4 linked regions of the Schizosaccharomyces pombe genome follow. Changing the gene in region 4 together with the main gene of any one other region gives a genetic interaction. Each region holds a gene or a part of one and is shown on either strand. Other genes may lie near its edges. The genes, in order: pef1, hus1, rad9 and swi3.

The links.
Region 1: mutations in swi3 (region 4) and pef1 impair growth when combined (synthetic growth defect), as found in Schizosaccharomyces pombe (2 studies listed by BioGRID, with this or other methods).
Region 2: mutations in swi3 (region 4) and hus1 impair growth when combined (synthetic growth defect), as found in Schizosaccharomyces pombe (2 studies listed by BioGRID, with this or other methods).
Region 3: mutations in swi3 (region 4) and rad9 impair growth when combined (synthetic growth defect), as found in Schizosaccharomyces pombe (2 studies listed by BioGRID, with this or other methods).

The regions. Positions count from the first base shown.
Region 1 is NC_003421.2:685,422-689,489, reverse strand, and holds pef1 (cyclin-dependent protein kinase Pho85/PhoA-like Pef1), read right to left. Parts: upstream 1,756-4,068; 5' UTR 1,737-1,755; coding exon 1,709-1,736; exon of another isoform or gene 1,658-1,708; coding exon 819-1,657; downstream 1-818. Other genes in the region: pgl1 (6-phosphogluconolactonase), read right to left, coding at 2,698-3,286, 3,405-3,589.
Region 2 is NC_003424.3:4,819,985-4,825,154, forward strand, and holds hus1 (checkpoint clamp complex protein Hus1), read right to left. Parts: upstream 2,720-5,170; 5' UTR 2,595-2,719; coding exon 2,552-2,594; exon of another isoform or gene 2,504-2,551; coding exon 2,395-2,503; exon of another isoform or gene 2,330-2,394; coding exon 2,317-2,329; exon of another isoform or gene 2,263-2,316; coding exon 1,668-2,262; exon of another isoform or gene 1,611-1,667; coding exon 1,507-1,610; 3' UTR 1,003-1,506; downstream 1-1,002. Other genes in the region: eIF2 alpha kinase Hri1, read right to left, coding at 1-389; fmp40 (adenylyltransferase), read right to left, coding at 2,959-4,665. UniProt on the Schizosaccharomyces pombe protein: Essential in controlling the S-M checkpoint that couples mitosis to the completion of DNA replication. It is also required for the response to DNA damage.
Region 3 is NC_003424.3:1,712,935-1,717,775, forward strand, and holds rad9 (checkpoint clamp complex protein Rad9), read right to left. Parts: upstream 2,783-4,841; 5' UTR 2,603-2,782; coding exon 2,498-2,602; exon of another isoform or gene 2,445-2,497; coding exon 2,111-2,444; exon of another isoform or gene 2,054-2,110; coding exon 1,440-2,053; exon of another isoform or gene 1,384-1,439; coding exon 1,156-1,383; 3' UTR 986-1,155; downstream 1-985. Other genes in the region: ribosome biogenesis protein rlp7, read left to right, coding at 1-5, 223-849; bfr2 (traub family ribosome biogenesis protein), read right to left, coding at 3,279-4,479, 4,541-4,640, 4,687-4,734, 4,777-4,786. UniProt on the Schizosaccharomyces pombe protein: Acts in DNA repair and mutagenesis. Involved in promoting resistance to ionizing radiation and UV light, as well as regulating cell cycle progression after irradiation. Repressor of entry into mitosis that is activated by chromosome breaks.
Region 4 is NC_003423.3:3,089,647-3,093,934, forward strand, and holds swi3 (replication fork protection complex subunit Swi3), read right to left. Parts: upstream 2,211-4,288; 5' UTR 1,882-2,210; coding exon 1,715-1,881; exon of another isoform or gene 1,657-1,714; coding exon 1,278-1,656; 3' UTR 1,213-1,277; downstream 1-1,212. Other genes in the region: SPOM_SPBC30D10.05C (sepiapterin reductase), read left to right, coding at 351-1,094; isn1 (IMP 5'-nucleotidase), read left to right, coding at 2,437-2,644, 2,694-3,616, 3,667-3,753; ncb2 (transcription corepressor), read right to left, coding at 4,165-4,288. UniProt on the Schizosaccharomyces pombe protein: Forms a fork protection complex (FPC) with swi1. FPC coordinates leading and lagging strand synthesis and moves with the replication fork. It is required for programmed fork-pausing which is necessary for mating-type switching.

The sequences.
Region 1 (4,068 bases), on a different chromosome or scaffold from region 4:
ATAAGCCAAATCCGTATATCTCCTTAAACAATAGATTGCTGGGCCAAGCGAGTAGAAAAACTCAAAAGAAATTGTAAAAGACACAATTATTATTTCATGTTTACAAATTGAACCTTCTTCCTAAACGAAACTCAAAGAAATTTAGTCACCTCCTACCATTGATGCCTCAAAACTGAAAAGATGGAGTATAGATGAAAGTAAATAAAAAGAATAATGAACGACAGAAACCACATAAAATGTCGAATGGTTAAAGAGAACATTAATAGAGAATCCCTTCATGCAGTTAAATAATAGGGAAGGAAGCCATTAATCCACTAATAAAAATAAGTGAAAAAAGATTGTTTTTCATGTGCATTGCGGATAATTGCTTGAAATCCGCAAATTATTATCAGTATACTAAAAACCCGCATTGCTTTTTGAATATTATCCTTTTGCTCCTTCATAAAAATGTCAGACGCAATGCGGATCATTCAATTCTTTAAGTATTTCATTTACGACTTGAATGTCATCAGCGACGATATTTTAATCGTAGAAAATAAAACGCCGTTTAATTCTTGGCTAAAAATATATTCGACAGCTTCAAATCCTCTCAAAATAATAACCAAATATTTACCTCTAAACCTCGTTTAAAAAAGATCAATAGGGATAGCTACTTGGGCTAAAACAGTTGCGAAGAAATTTGAACGTCCAAAAATATTGTGCTCTTTCCCTAGGTGAAATGCATTCTTTCCAAAAAAAAAATTAATGATTTCAATAGGAAACTGAAATGAATAAATAAAATCGTAATTTGGTTAAACTTTTTGATGTTAATTTACAGCCTATGCGGTTAAAAACCAAGCATGTTGAAGCGCATCCTGGCCGGTCGTCCTTAATTCAGGTTGTAGACGAAGCATCCGTCGTAACAAATCCAAACCAAGAGGATCAAATGTTGGAAATAGGTAGGCGAGATCTTGTGCTTTATAAATAGGGAAAGTAGGCTTATATTCAGGAAGTAAAGAAATTCCGGGCCATGATTGTTCAGTAGGAGTTCCCAATAATCGGAAGATTTTTAGTAGCTGATCCTCATTATTTGACCCAGCAAATAGAGGACGTCCTGTAGCCATTTCTGCCATGATACAACCAACTGACCAAATATCAATGGAAGTTGAATATACTCGAGAACCCAAAAGAACGTCAGGAGCACGATACCATAAGGTGACCACTTCGTTTGAAAAAGTATTCACTGGAATTCCAATTGAACGGGCTAACCCAAAATCCGCCAATTTCAATTCACCACGACTGTTGATAAGCAAATTTTGAGGTTTCAGATCACGATGTAGAACTCGGTTTTCGTGACAAAAAGATATCCCTTTGAGTAATTGTTGAGTAAAATTTTTTACTTGAGAAGGTGGAAGAGCTCCTTGGTTCCCATAAGTGTCCATGTACTTTTTCAAATCTTTTTCCATATATTCAAAAACGAGCATAAGCTTATTTTCGGTTTGCAAAACGTCTGAGAGAGACATAATATTGGGATGCCTAAGCTCCTTCATAAGACTAATCTCACGGATAGCAGTACTAGGTGTTCCTTCATCTGCATCAATACGAATAACTTTGAGAGCGACAATTTCACCAGTCACTCGATTTTGCCCCTTATAAACATGCGCATATGTTCCCTCTCCTACTTAAGTTAATGAAATTGCAAATTTTGGGACCTCAAACTCATACTTACCTAACTTTTCAAGCCTTTGGTAGTTCATGTTGTGCGATGGAAATATCAAGTGCCTCCTCTACGATGACTAACGACTTAAGGTGATGTTAAGCTAACAAAACTGTTTTTAAGACCTACAGTTTTGAAGAATATGCTAAGAAAAAAAATTTTTAGTCTATTGAGTCATGTCGAACATCTTGCTATAATGTAAACTATTGTAATTAAGATCACTACAGCTTCTATCACAAATTAACCTAATGATAATTAATCAGAAGGTTGCCATCTGTAGAAAACACATAAGTATTAATAAACCCTTACATAAAGGAGAGTTTAAGCAATTGCATGTTTTTGGATATAAATTTCCATCTTTGCTTAAAATCTATCATAAGCAGTATGAGAAAATGCCGTAATTTTGCATAATTTTAAAAATGAATTAATGATTTAATAAAAGAATTGAAGCTAAACTATATCACTGCAATTCAAAAACAATTGGTTTACTTTATCTTGTTGATGAAACACATTTTAGAACATTATCACCAACAAAAAATGATACAAGATAGCTTAAGTTTATATATTTCAATGATTCATTTCTTCATTAAAACATCATATTTCTGCAGTGTGGGTTTGGCCAGTGATATCAATCAACTAAACATGATTCTAAACGAAGCAATAAAACAATTTAATAAAGCATTAGCTTCTTACACATTGTTTACAAGACTAACCTTTATACGCTAGTCTAAAATAAAAAACAGACAACAAATGCAAAGAGGATTTGAGGAACAAGTTCTCTCCTAATCTACTAACATGTGTTAAAACTGGTCATCAAGCATTCCACGGAAGTGACTGAAAGCATTTTGAAAGTCATTATCTAAAGCGTTTATGCAAAGAATCTCACGAACAACAAAAGAGAACTGCAACCTTTCCCTTGAAAGACCTTAAAGAAACAAGTAATGAATCCGAAGCATGTAGCAATTAAGCATTCTAAAGGCCACCTGCTTAAATTGAACTGCCTATTGAGGGAAAACCTTCAAAGAGGATCTCTCAAGATTGGCTGATGCTTCATCATCCACAAACCAGCTTGTACGAGTCAAATTGTTTCGAGTGATCAGCGCACTTGGAAGTTTAGATGTAAAATCCTCAATGACAATAGGCAAAATATCCTTCTTACCAGCACCTGTGGTAACAAAGGCAATGGCTTGAGCATGTGTGACAACCGGTAAAGTCAAAGTGATGCGGTCTTTAGGGGGTTTGGGCGAATCAGTGACTGGGGCCACCCAAGCAACGTCTTCCTGGAGTACCTCGTGATCGGGGAATAGAGAACATGTATGGCCATCAGGACCGCATCCTAACAGCAGTAAATCAAACACAGGGACCTTAACAGTGGAGCTATTTGCAAACACATGCACTAATTGTTTTTCATATTCATCAGCAACATTCTGAGGGTCAATAGGATTTTCTTTCAAAAGCTCAGGATTGATGGTATGAATTTTTTTAGGGTCAAATCCTTCAAACTTGTCAAAAATCAACTTTTTACAGAGCGCATAATTTGAGTTTTCATCATCTAAAGGAACAATTCTTTCATCAGCAAAGAAAACTTCCCTAAATAGAGCTGTTAATCATAAATTGCCTTAAGACAGAGTGTTTCACGTCAACCAAAGCTAAACAAAACCACAGTGAATCCATACAACTCAAAAGTATATAATATCTGTTAACTTACCATTTGGAAAACTCGATACCTCTCTGTTGAGCCAATCCTTCAGCCAAAACCTTTGGTAAACTTCCTCCACTAAGAGCTAAAGTGAACACGCCATGCCTTTTAATAGAAGCTTCACTTTTCTCTTTAACGAATGCACCAAGTGCCTTTGCAACTAAACTAACGTCTGAAAATGAGTAAACCGACATTTTTTCTACTTGGTTCTGGTTTGCTTTCAGTATTTGCGCAATTGTTAGTAATGGAGTAGTATTAACGAAACAAGGTGGAGTGTCGTAATTCATTCGGTAGTCGGAAATTTAGAACAGAACAAATCTTAAATCAGTTTTCGAGTATAGTAATGTACGATTACGGCATTATCACGGCAAGGTAGCGGAGGTATAGAATATAACCATGAAGCAAGCAATACGTCTGCATCGCTGGGATTAGATAAAGAAGCTCGACCTTCTCTGCATTTTTGTTTAAATAAATGAACCAAATGATATTGAGAAAGGAATTAAATGAAGAATATACAGATGGGCGCTGGTAGCTTTTCAATATCTTTCAATCGAGTTCAAACGTTTAACCATTTCCTAATCATTAAGATTGTTTATAGATGTAGCTAACAAAGGCCGCAAATTAGTCATGATTGAAACATGAAAAATCAGGTAACCCAATTTAAGAGAACATG
Region 2 (5,170 bases), on a different chromosome or scaffold from region 4:
GAATACCTCGATTTCTTAGAATCCTTAGTAGAGCTCATGGGTAAGGTACTCCGAAAAGCTTTAGATAAGAGGTTATGAAGAGAATCGGCATAAGCATTACGAATTGGTTCAAGCTCCTCGGAGAACTCAAAATCTATGATACCTGAATTTTGAAGCGAATGAGCAACATATAAAAACATTTGCTTCGATTGCTCTGGAGTTTGATCAGAATGCTTACAAAAGCTTTCTAACAACGCAACGAGAAGCAACTTGCAGGAACTTTGAGTATCCGCGGTTTTTTTTTCGAAATTCTGTTTGTAACCGAGACCAATTGTCGGCATAATCCGACTGATATTTTCCTTGGCATAGTTGCAATCCCTTTTCGAACATTTAGTAGAAGTGCCGAGCATTCTTGTGTGAATGAATCAAATCAAAGCAAATAAGAAAAGAGAAAGAAGAATTGAATAAGATGAGTAATTTAAAACATGAAAATTATTCCTTTTTTTTTTCTCTAAATGAAACGAAATGTACAATCCTAATTATCAGTCTATATTGAATATATAACAATAATAGTAACAATGCTATCTATGAAAACAAGAAAGAATTTGCAATTAAGGAACGGTAAAACTATTATAGAAAGAAGGTACGTTTAAGTCAATTTATATGTCTGTATATGTGTTGTTTATGTAGCGGATTTCCCCGGATACCTCTCCATATTTAAGTTATTGTGGGATTTTCACTATCGTTACCTCTATTGCGATACCAACTTTTCTAGGTAACAACGTTCAGCCCCTTTCGTACTGAATGTTGGTACAGTTTACATGTGTAGCCGACTGCATCGGAGGAGGAATAACTATCGAACATAGTCAATTCCGATGACAGACAGCCTGAAATTTTCGCACTTTTAAAGAGGAACTCGCCATTTTCATCACTTCTACGTAAAATGTATAGCGATGCCTCCAAAGTACAAGAAAGAATAGGCGGAAATTAATAGAAGCTACAGTCAATGGCATATATCTTCTCAAAAAAACGATTAAAATATTCAATTTTTATTAAGTATATATTTCCCATTGAGCACTTAAATGTTCAATTGAGACTTTATAGATTTCTGAACAGTTGCTTGTCTAAAAGATTAAAGAAAGATGAACCAAGGTTTATTCATATTCAAGTTAATTGCTTGAAAACATACGTTTGTGTTTAATCGTATGTATCTCTCATTGAAAACGTGAAAACATATGGATTTTATCAACAGATTTTCTGTGACTTGAACATTATATTTCTTTTTGGTGTTATCCTTTTAAGAGATATCAACGGAATAGTAAAACACTGAGTTGCCGAGATTACAACAACTGTATAAAATAAATAAAAAAGAACGGTAAGATCGATAAAGGAAGAGAGAGAAAATAAGTATAAGCATGGTAGATGTTGATTAATCTCTTTTCATTTTAATGTACATTAAAAATGTGGCTAGTCACTCATAACAATTATTCGTTAATTAAATCAAATCATAAACAAATTGAAGTAACCTTAGTCCACATAGGTACTAATGTAGTATGTTAAAACAGCCGTATGTTCATCTTCTGGATCTGTTATATAAACATAAAGTACTAGCGCATGTCCTTCACAGAAACCTGTAATGTAAAAAGGTTAGTTCGTGGTCATAAAAAGGATTCTCTCATAGTACATACACGCTATTACACGCTTTGCAACACTGGATATTTTTAACATGTTGACTAAGTCCTTGCTGTCTAGTCTCATGTGAACAAATTCTTCGGGTGCCCTTGTTTGAGAGGGATGTCGACTGATGTCTTCGACTTGACTAGGATCTAACTCTGGATTCTCTAATCCTTTCCATTTTGTGCTTACTCTAGCTGAAGGTATGTTTACCGATAACTGCAATTCGCCTGACATGTTGGCTGACATTATAATACGGTCTGAAAGACTCTTGTATTTGTCCACGACGTGTCTTAGAAAATTCAGTTGTGGAAGGAATATATGACAGTCTGGTTCAGGAGCAGTTGGTTCCTTAATAACTGACACGTATGATTGTGATAGTACTCGAACAGGTATATTATGAGTCACAATATTCGAACCAAACGCCCTTCCACTCCAAGTGGTAGACAACGAAAGTAATGGCTGGTTATTCTTCTTGGATAGACGAACAGTAGAATCACTAGCGTTGGCCGCTGATCGTAAGGCTTTATAGAAATTATCTATAGGAACTTCTAGATTTATCACGTTGTCTGCATTGCTTTGGACGACATAGTCCTCAAATATTGTTTCCTTTCCGTTTACGTTAGTTAGGGCAATCAAATAGAAAAAGATAGTTAATCATACGACTTCTAAAACTCTGTTTCTTTATTAGTTTCACAATGTGATTTTTTTCACCGTTAAATGCTTAATATCTTCACTTACGACCAAACTTGAGTCATCCTAAAATCTGGCACTATCACAAAATTTACAGTTTCAGGCATCAGACGAAGCCAGCAAAATCTTCCAATTTTATCTAGCGCCTGAACAAGACCTAAATTTGATTAGTAAACGAACTTTCTGCTGATCTTTTCCAACTTACGCGTCAACGTGTACAAGTTGCTAATCCTTGTTTTAAATCTCATTTTCAGTCTTTGATTTAACTAATGAGATTGAGATTTTTTGGCATTTTGTTTATTCAAGCGTTTAGCAGGTTAAAGTCGACCAATAATAAATTTTCGGTCGAAAAAACTACGAACGCGTAAAAGCCAGCTAAGAAATAGCAAACTGGGCATTAGCAACTGCATCGCAATCTTTATTAAGCAAATGCAAATTTTAATGGCAAGTGGAATAAAATTAATGAATAAAATTTAAAAAGATTTACAAAAGTCTTAGAGTCTAAAAAAAATTATACTCAAGAGCCTATTCGTTGTATCATTTATTTCATACGATTAGCTATTCCTAAATTTTAAATTACATTAAAAAAATAAATGGCAAGTAAGAAGGGTTCTAGCTAGAGCAGGAACATTGAATTTGGCTTTTGGAGGGAGTAGTGTTATAGCATAAATAATCCTCTTCTTCCTTGGAAAACCCCCAAGTATCTTCGAACGGACAGGCAGCCATTTTACACACTTTTTTAAAAAGCTCAAATTTCCCGATGTATGCTTCTTTAATCACCTCTTCAAGAACCCAATTTCTAAGAGTAAAATGTGGGTTGACTTTTTTCATGCTCGCTAATCGGGATGAATCTTCCTGAGTTTTCGTTGCTTCACTATATCGACCAACCCAATTAGTGAAAGCTTTGACAGATTCATTTCTAACTCTTTCATTATTCGGGTTTAGACAAATACATGCTTGCATCAATTTTGCAGCATATTCTTCATTCTCCATTGAAGAGGGAGAGTTTCTAGAAAGAAAGGAAAAACAATTTGGCATATCCAATTCATAATCCTCCAAAATTTGTAACAAATCAGTTATCAGAATTTTGTTAGATGAGTCAGAGGGAAGACCCACTCGTTTGAACATAAGATCATAGAAATCATTCTGGACAATATTTTTATACTCTTCTACTATCTTTTCAAAAACTTCAGAAGTATAAGCAAACGCCTTTTTTAACAAATCAGTAGAGTTATGAAGTTGTTCCATATATTGCAAGTCATCAACTTTGTCGCAAGCTCCAATTAACTCAACCAAAGCAGATGCTAATTTTGATAAATTCCAAATAATAATATCAGGTTGGTTGCGATATGAATATCGCAAAAATACATCGTCATGATTAGGTGTAAAAGATGGGTTGTAAACATCTAAAAATCCAAAAGGTCCATAATCAATTGATAGTCCCAGTATACTGGTATTATCAGTATTCAAAACACCATTCATAAATCCATATGCTTGCCATTTGGCTACAGTTTTAGCATTTCGATATGCAACATCTCGAAGAAGTTTTTCGTAGCGATTTCCAGTATCTCCACCATGAAATCCATCTTTTAAAACGAAATTTAGACAATAGTCGGCTAATTTCCGTAAAGACTCAATTTGATTATTAATCCCCTGGAGATCGAAAGTCCCAATTCTGATCCAAGAAGGGGCCATACGGCAAACAACGGCGCAAGGCTCTACAGTCTCACGTTGTGCTACAACACCTTCAAGATTGGAAATTGCCAGAGCCTGTGTTGTTGGAATGCCTAGAGCATATAAAGCTTCACAACATAAATATTCTCGAATGCTAGATCTTAAAACAGCCTTTCCATCTGCAAATCGAGAGTATGGTGTTCTTCCTGCGCCTTTGACTTGAATCTCAAAGCGTTTTCCAGTTTCCGGGTTGGTAAGTTCGCATAAGGATACTACGCGGCCATCACCCAACTGACCTGCCCAATCCCCAAATTGGTATCCTCCATAACATTGCGCCCAAGGACAACACTTATTGACATCAACGTTAGAACCGACAACAAGCTGTTGAAAAGCTTCAGTTTGAGTTTCAGATTCTTCGAGTCCTAATGACTTCACGGACGAAGGGCTATAAGCTAATAATTGAGAATTGGCTTTTAGTGATGGAGTCAAATAAGTAAATAAGCCGCCGCCTTCCACAAATCGAGGAACATGTAAGATTCTGTCATCAGCCTTTTTCATTGCCTGTACGGTCGGTACCAGTGGATCAGGCGGAAGATTTGATGTGAACGTTGAGCTGACAGGGAGATCCTTCAATTTTTTTGACATCGTATTGGTATATCGAATTAATGTTCTTTGCATACCAATGTTTGATTGTGCCCCAGTGTAAATTTGCTTACTTTATTGATTATAATAACAATAAAAGCAGCAATTCACTTACATTTGATCAATAACAGATCAAGTAGACTAGTACGTTGAAAATAGCTGGTAAAATACATGCTATGTGATCAATGAGCAAACTAATGAAAACATCATTTTAAAATGATAGCGAATGAACAGCAATTGTTATATTAATATGGAATGGCATTACTTTGTAGATCGTTGGATTTCGTAATTTGTTAATTAGCATTTTTAGGAATGCAGAATCATTATATATAGAGGAATATTTGTAACAATTTCAATGACTAAATAGTGGTAGATGAAATCTACAGAATTAAAAAGTCGGAACTGAGAAAATAAAACTAAGCTTACTTACTATACCATACTTGAAGTAGATGAATAAAAACCTGCAAGCACCCAGGCACTCAAACATTTCAGCTAGTGGTGGAAACTG
Region 3 (4,841 bases), on a different chromosome or scaffold from region 4:
AAGAGGTATGTGAATTGCTTGTTCTACAGGTTTGAAATATCCATAATATACATATTTATATGAAAAAGATGAACCTTTCACTCTTGGATTGCTAGTTTCGACGATGCTGCTCCAAAATACCATCTTTCGGCTGATTCATATATTTTGTATTGGTTAAATTTAAACCTTTGACTTCATCAATTTTTATATATTGTTAAAAACATTTTACTAATTTTACTCCAGGCCCAGAAGAAAAATCGTAAAGAAACCTTCAAAAGGGCTGAGACTTTTATTAATAACTACCGCCAACGAGAAAGAGAACGGATTAGGTTAAATCGATCTGCGAAAAATAAAGGAGACATTTTCGTGCCTGATGAAACAAAACTTCTTTTCGTTATTCGAATTGCCGGAGTCAAGAATATGCCTCCTAAAATTCGCAAAGTTCTGCGCTTATTACGCCTTTCTCGAATTAACAATGCCGTTTTTGTGCGAAATAATAAAGCCGTTGCTCAAATGCTTCGAATCGTCGAACCTTATGTTATGTATGGTATTCCCAATTTACATTCTGTTCGTGAACTCATTTATAAACGTGGCTTTGGTAAGATCAATGGTCAGCGTATTGCTCTCTCTGATAATGCATTAATTGAGGAGGCCTTGGGCAAATATGATGTTATTTCCATTGAAGATATCATTCATGAAATTTACAATGTAGGCTCTCATTTTAAGGAAGTTACTAAATTCTTATGGCCATTCACTTTGACTCCAGTTAAACACAGTTTGATGGAGAAAAAGGTCAAACATTTTAATGAGGGTCGAAAGGCTGGCTATTGTGGAGAAGAAATTAACGAATTGATTAAGAAACAAGTTTAAAACTTTCTTTGAGTTCGTGTAATGACTTAAATTTTGCATTCAGATGAAAATGCAAAAATGTATATTAGACTTTTTATAGGCCGTGGATTGGAATTTAATTAATTGGGTTACATTATTCACTATCTTATTGATTTATTAGAACTACTATGTAACGTATCGTATGATGAGGGTAATTTTGTAGTTAAAAAAAACTAAATTATTGATAAATATTGTACATTATATAATATGAGTGCTGTGTTTTATGAGGTTGTCACAAGCACCTGTAAATGTTCATAATTTTACACACCATAGCAAAGAAGGATTTTCCTAGTCTTCCTGAGAGAAAATGCCATGATAACTTTGTTCAGCTTGCGTTGGTCCAAATTCGGCATCATCGTTCACATCATTATTAAAAGCAGCAAGCTCGGATTCATTAGGAATACCATCTAAGAACAATGATTGACCAGCATCGTTTGTGGTTGATGGCTCCTTAATGCCATTAGTTTCGTCGCTTCGGTCAAGCGCAGAATTAAACATTCTGGATGAGTCACTTTGCTATAAAGTTAATGTTAATAAATTATTGTACTTAGTACTAAAGCCGAATTACATACATCAGTTTGCCATCCAATAGATCCAGGGGGATTATGTGCTACAGCAGTCAATGAGTTGTTGCGCTCTACTGAATTGAACAGAGAAGCTGGTGTTGAACTGTGCTGCCATCTATTTCCCATCATAGATGACACCTCTTGTTCATCTGATCCAACTACAGTTGCAAGAATGAACTGCGCTTCAATTTCGGAATTTTTCCCTTTTGCAAAAGTTAAAAGTATCGGTTTTCCTGGGACACCGTAATATGCACAAATCGAGCTTCCCAATGCCTCTGCTAAAATGACGGCAGCACGAAATTCACGTAGAGAAAGGGTAACAGAGACTCCCTCATTAAGTGCGACGCGTTCAAATTCTTTACCATCAATGGAAACAGTTGTTTGGGTAGGTTGCTTCAAAATATCTCTATTATGTACGACCTCTTCTGTGAAACTTGTAAGTAAAACACGTTCTTGAAGTGGTTGAATTGTAAGCTCTTCCGTTCTCTGACCAAAATGTTCAGTCAAATCTTTTAGAATTTTTGAGTTTATTTGAAAATTATTGTGACTAAGAGATTTATCAAAAACAGCGTGTAAAGTTTGGGTTTGTTCATATGATATTTTATATGTTTTAATCACTCCTTGATGAATAAACGTTAGTAGAGCAAATAAAATAATAAGACGGACAAACTACGTACCGTGCTTGCATAAGAATTTAAATATAATCCTACACTCGCTACCAGTAGAGATTGAGATTTGAACATTCTCGACAATCACATCTTTTCTGCTTGCAGATTCACTGCCATAACCGTTCTTGCTATTGGTAGTGACGACAGTCGGGATGAAATCAAAGATTTTGTTTCTAAACACAGATAGTATGGGCTTGACTTGCGTACGAATACGTATTGTAGGAGTCATCAATCCCGTCAACAGGACGGAATCCGGCTGAAAAATGTACTTGTCAAAAAATGCCTTTTTTAAAGTCACCATGCTAAATCCTGACCTAGAAGAATTTAAACATGTAATCTCTATCTTTACCAATTAGTTTCAATGTTTAGTAAGGTTTGAAAAAAGTTCCAACACACCTGATTTTTGTTAATTTCCCAGTTGACAGCATCATCGATTCTAGAAAGATTTGTAAAGATCCTTGCGAGGTCCCGAAGATTAACATTTGAAACAGTGAATTCCATTTTATATACCAGTACGTGAATTGATGTAGACGAATGCTGAACGAATAACGATAGTTTCTAGTCGATATGACGATTAATTTCTTAATTCATGCTAATAGAAGTAAATAAATCTCGACAATTTTTGACAAACAGAATTGAAACTGGTATATACAGAGGTAAATCTATAATGTGGTGTTTTCTAGCACCTGCTTTAACGCACTTATATTAGTATAGACACGCGCGCCGAAATTTGTACGAAAGTGTAATGGCCAACATCAATCGCAAAATAATCTGTATATACACAATGAATTGTAATAAGAAGAAACTTATAGCTGCTTTTAATTTGCAGCAGAAAGAGTTCAACTGTACATCATATAAACGTACATACTTTTATGCTTAAAATACTAAAGTGCACAAAAACTAAAACCTTCAGCCCAAGATAACCCTTTATTACTTGTAATTGCCCGACATTGTGACCATCTATGTAACCATATATATGTTAAATTTTTTTATTAACCTAAATAATTGTAAACGAAATATATTATAATAGAACCAAAATCCGCGAATGCCCTTTTTAAAACCGAAAAAAGATATACTGTAAGTAAAAATAATCATGCACCCTAAATGTTTAGCACAGCTTGCGTATATTAAAAAAAAGACAAATAGTGAAGCTTATCCAACACGCACAAGCTTATTTTCAACCGAAGAGAGAAAATCCGTCGTTGGAAGAGATCAGTTCATCATCCTTCTCCACGAAGTTTGAAGTATTTGTATCATTAGCTGTCTCTGATAAATCTAATTGTTGACCCAACAGACTACTAAACAAATCTTCAGTTTGTTCATCCGGCCATACAGTCACTTCAATGGGAGCCATAAAATTTTGTAATTTATCATGAACGTGATACCTTATTTTTCGACCTTTGGATGCCTTAGTATCAACGTTTTCTTTCTTCTGTTTTTGCTTTTTTGTAGCCATCCAACGAACAGTGCCATCTCGAGTAGAGTCTGCCATTCTAGAATTAATGAAATCCTTCAATAATGATTGATAAAAATCCGTGTCGTTGTAAATTTCGGGATTGAAAGTTTTGTTGTTAGGGTCACTGTAATCAATTCTAGTGCGCTCGACCAAATCTTTCTTGTTAATCATAGAATTTTCGATTTGTTGAACAATACTTTGATTTAGAGCCTTGAATTTGTTAGATTGCGAAATCCCTTGCACTGCTTGAACCCGATTATGCCATTTGGTTAAAGTATCATTTTTCCACTCATTCAAAGAGTCGTCAAGGTTATTCATTTCTAAAGCAATTTCTTCTAGACTAACAGGATTCTCTTTTCTTTTTGATCTACTGTCAAGAATTTCCACTCCAGAGTCAATAAGTAAGTTTTTCCTCAGCTGTAAAGTGTGTTGAATAAAAGATACTAAACCATCTCGGGCTTCTACTTTATCACCTTGAAGTTGGTTGCTGGAAGAAAGAAGTTGACTACATCCTTTTTGAAGACGGATTCTAGTATCTAAAACATTATCGTAAAAACGCATCTGCTCCTTCAAAGCTAAACCCTTTTTCATGTCTTCAAGGGCGGATGTACGAATTTGATCAGATAGCTTTTTCTCTCCATTTATAATCTTTTTTAAACGATCCATGTCTTTTTCAGGAATGGCAGAAGATTGGTCGTCATCTTCATTTTCCTCAGAAATTGATGAAGCTTCTGAGCTTGAAAAATTTTCGTGATCTTCTGAAACTGCATCATTTTCGTCTTCCTCCGAATCTTCTTCTTCAGATGGTGATGAAGATTGAGAGTTTAAAGAACCGCTATTAAGTAATTCCTGGCGAGACGTTTTTCTTCCTTTAAATTTTGGGTCTAACTGAGGAGCCTGTTTTGAGCGTAATTTACTTTCACTATAAAATATGAAACATTAGTATAAGCTCAAATACGCAAAAGTAAAAATTTTGAACATACCTAACATCAACATAATGTTCTCTCCCTAAGGTATCGTTTTCTTCTTCGCTAGAGTCCTCTCTATCAGAGAATGCGTCCTCTAAAGCTTCAGGGTCTCTTTCTATTTATGTGAGTAAGAATCCCGGAATTTTTCGTTAATAACATACCCTGCGGTTGAGGGTTTAGCATCCCTGCCAATTCATCTTTTAAAGAAACTAAAGATTTATTAGAACCTAAAAATATCTTATTGAACTTACCTTTACCCATTTTGAGCAAATTTTGATGTGTCTGGGACTGGGTAAGTGAAGGGGTGTGGGTTAGC
Region 4 (4,288 bases):
ACTGCATCAAGCTCTATTAATACAATAAAGTATGTTGTTTTCATACTCATATTTATTTTTTCTGTTTTAGTAATGTTTGACCATTAACAAAAATAAAGGGAATGGCAAGCTTGTTTTGTATTTGCACTTCATTACTTTCGTTTTTTAATACCATATAACAATTCCTTTCGTGAATAAATAAGCAAAATTAAGATTATATCGGTTACTTTATTGTGATTATACGGAACCTCGTTATCTTGGCATCATGATATAAATCATAGCATAGCTAACATATTTCCTCAGTTCCACAATCTGGCTTTACACTAAAGTAATTCACACCCTACATTTCTATAAATTTCTATAAAAGCATTATGGCCGAAACCGCTGAAAAAGTTATTTTGTTGACTGGATCCTCTAAGGGTATTGGATTGGCTACTGCAGAAGCTCTACAGAAGAAGGCCAAGGTTATTGCTGTTAGTAGGTCCTTGACCCCAGAACTAGAAACTTTGCTTATTCAAAATCCTGACTCATTTGTTCACGTGAAGGGTGACGTTACGGAGGTTGGAAAAGCTAGTATCGAAACTGCTATTAAAAAGTTTGGAAAATTGGACTCGGTTATTCTAAATGCAGGTGTCCTTGAACCTATAGCCAAAATCGCTGATGCAGATATCAATGAATGGCGTAAGTTGTTTGATATCAACTTTTTCAGTGTGGTTGAAACAGTGAAGTATGCAATCCCGCATTTGCGTAAAACCAAGGGTACTATTGTGATTGTATCCTCTGGCGCTGCTGTTCGTGTTTTTCCCGCGTGGGCTGCATATTGTTGCTCAAAGGCCGCCATCAACATGCTAGTCATGAACCTTGGCAGCGAGGAGCCTGATATAATGAGTGTGGCAGTACGTCCGGGAGTTGTTGATACCCCTATGCAAGTTAGTATCCGTAATGATTCCAATAAAGAAGCCATGGGTGGAGATACTCATAATTTTTTCAAAGAACTTAAAACATCCGGTCAACTTGTGGCTCCTCAGGACATCGCCAAAGCTCTTTCTTTTCTAGCCTTGAATAACAATCCAAAGCTTACTGGTCAATTCGTAGAATGGAAATCATTTGTCTAGATGTTCTATAGTTTATTGAATTTCGGAGTTAGAGGCTACAATTGTTCGTTTAAATAAAACAAAATGAATAAATTAAACATTACATCAAATAAAAGTAGCTGAAAATAGTCCCAAAAAATGATCATGATTACTAATATTGATAAACAAAGCTGCAACAACATCTCAATCATTCATTAATGGTGACTATTCTAATTGGGTATCGTTGTCTTGGGCGACAAAAGCATCATCAGCTGTATCTTGAACATATGGATCTCCGCTCGTCAAATTCACTAATGAATTGGAAGATGGACCAGTAAATAATGAAGCATTAGAGTCCGAACCATTTTCAACAGCAATTTCATTAATCCAACCACGACGTCGAACCTTGACGGATCTGTGTTTTCCTAGAGTTTTAAGATACGATATTGAGTCATCAAACGTGGCTCTTGGATATAACTCATGAGTCCATATATGATACATTCCCAATAGTTGTTTTAAGTCTTTTGCCTCATGACCCTTTCCTTTTAACTTAACTTTGCGCATCATTTTCCTTAATTTTGGAATTCCATTTTCAGAAATCAATCTAAATAGGGAAAACGAGTGGTCAATAATTATTTTCCGAAAACCGACCAAATTCTTACCTTTCTTCATCAAATTTTGCCAACCGTTTGCGAGGTTTTTTTACAGAATCTGGATTTTCTTCTAACCCTAAATCAAATTCTTTTTCTTCTTCATTCTTTTTCACCTCTTCCCTTTTGTTTTCCTCGACGAGTTTTTCAACACCTGAATCAGAAGCAGCTGTAGACATTTCTTATGGTGTTTTTTTAAAATATATATTTGCTTGTATGTTTCGCAAAAGAGAGTTAGTGAATGCAATAAATATCGATTTGCTTGCTGTTTCGCTTCAAAAGTTCTGTTAATCTAGCAATTTTTCTATGTACTATTGACTTTACTGCTAATGAAAAGCGAATAGAACCTTTCAAATTTAACTGCGCAGCAAGAAAGGTTTATAATTTACTAATGAAAGAAAATTCCTTATTTAACGCGGATTAGAAATGTGTAGAGGAAGAATAGTTCAGAAGGCTCATGTTACACCTGGACTATATACTTTTATAAAATTTTGTTAAGAATGCTCATAAATTATAGCTAATTTTTGGAATTGTGATAGACGTATTTGAGTGATAGTGCTCGCTGCTAATACTAGTATAACAATTCTCAACGTAATCATTTTTGAATCGTTTCGGAAAGCATAATAAAGCAACTTTTACCCTTTCTCTTTCAATTAACATACTTTCCTTCAAATTTCTTGCATTCGTGTAGATTTCTTTTTTTGAATAAGTGTTTGTCATTAAAGGTTTAGGCAATGGCTTCTAGATATCGTGTTGAGTATGCGTTAAAGCAACATCGGAAGGACGATTTTATTGAATGGATTAAAGGTTTGTTGTCAGTTCCTTTTGTTTTACAGGCAGGAACCCCTTCACAGAAACTAGTAACGCGCGAAAAAGAGCAGGAAACGCTTGAGCGTTACGCTGTAATTTTAAGAGATGTGGAAAAACTTATTGAGGCTCATAGTAAGTTTCCCCTTCATTCTTTTAATTTTCTAACCTTTCTCATTGATAGTTCAAATAGTTTCAGAAGGTGGATCCTATAGCCAGTTAAAGATGCTTGTTCCATCGATCACCATATTTTGGACACCTTTGCCATTAGTGAAAGCTATGTACGCGTTGGAACCAAAGCTTTGTCTAGCTAAACGAAGCTTTGTGGCACCGAGTTTTAACGATGTCAGGGCAATATTAGGAGGTGCTCAATTGAATTACCTTGCGGATAATGGCTTGGATATGGTCAGTTTTGATGGAGATGTAACTCTGTACGAAGATGGGCAGCCTTTGCTTCCTGACAATCCTGTTATATCCCGTTTGATTCAGTTACTTTCGAGGGGGATCTATGTCATCATTCTTACTGCTGCTGGCTATCCCAGTCGTACTGGCCAGGAGTATACTGATAGATTTTCAGGATTATTGCAGGCAATCGAAGACAGCGACTTGAAGGATGGGCAGAAACGGAAACTTCATGTATTAGGAGGCGAGAGCAATTACTTATTTGCTTATGACCCACTGCATGGTTTACAATGGGTGGATGCTGACTCATGGATGCTTCCCGTGATGAAAACATGGCCTCATGATGAGATTCTCGAAATTTTGGATACTGCTGAAGAAACTCTTCGTTCTTGCATTCAAGGACTTAACATTGATGCAAAAATAGTTCGTAAAGAAAGATCAGTTGGATTTGTACCTTCCCTTGGTCAAAAACTGAGAAGGGAGCAACTGGAGGAAGCTGTTTTGGAGACACAAGCAACGTTGCAGATACGAAATTTCTCAGTTCCTTTTACTGCTTTCAATGGTGGAAATGATATTTGGTGTGATATTGGTGACAAGAAATTGGGTGTTTTATGCCTTCAGCATTTTTTTAATATTTCCCATCCTTCTCGCTGTCTGCATGTTGGTGATCAATTCTTGTCAGCTGGTAACAATGATTATAAAGCGGTAAGTTTGAAATAAACTTTTGTTGAAGATTACTAACCACCTATTCAAAGAGAGCTGCTGCTACCACTGTTTGGGTATCCAGCCCCCACGAGACGATTGAGTTTTTAGATTATTATTTCTCTTTTTTAAAAAAGTAATTTAATTAGAGGAGAGATCTTATACTGCAAACACATTCGTAAATATTCTTCTTATACTTCAGCAATGCTATACTATACTTATAAAATGAATACCCATATAAGCGTTTTGACATCAAAAGATATATGATCGTTCAATACATTGTTAATCTTTGATTTTTGATATCAATTTCTTTGCTAATTTTAATAGCGCATTATGCAATGTAAGATTTGGAATAGCATTAAATCTGAATACATGAATTTCACATCATAAAAACTCTAAATAAATGAAGACAAAAATAGTGATAACTCAAAGAAAGATACAGTATGTACTTGATTAGTTTTCAGAGTAACTTTAAGACATGAACGATAATTTGCCATAGAAGCAAATTCTAAACAAATTCCGGATTTTTAATATCCATAAATACATCTAGCTCAATTTTCTTTTGTTTCGGTCTCTGATGCGGTAGGAACAGGAATGGCGGTTGTCGTATGATTATCGTGAGCAATATTTTGATTTTTAAAACGCTCACGGGCTCGGCTTAATAGCTCTTCTTGT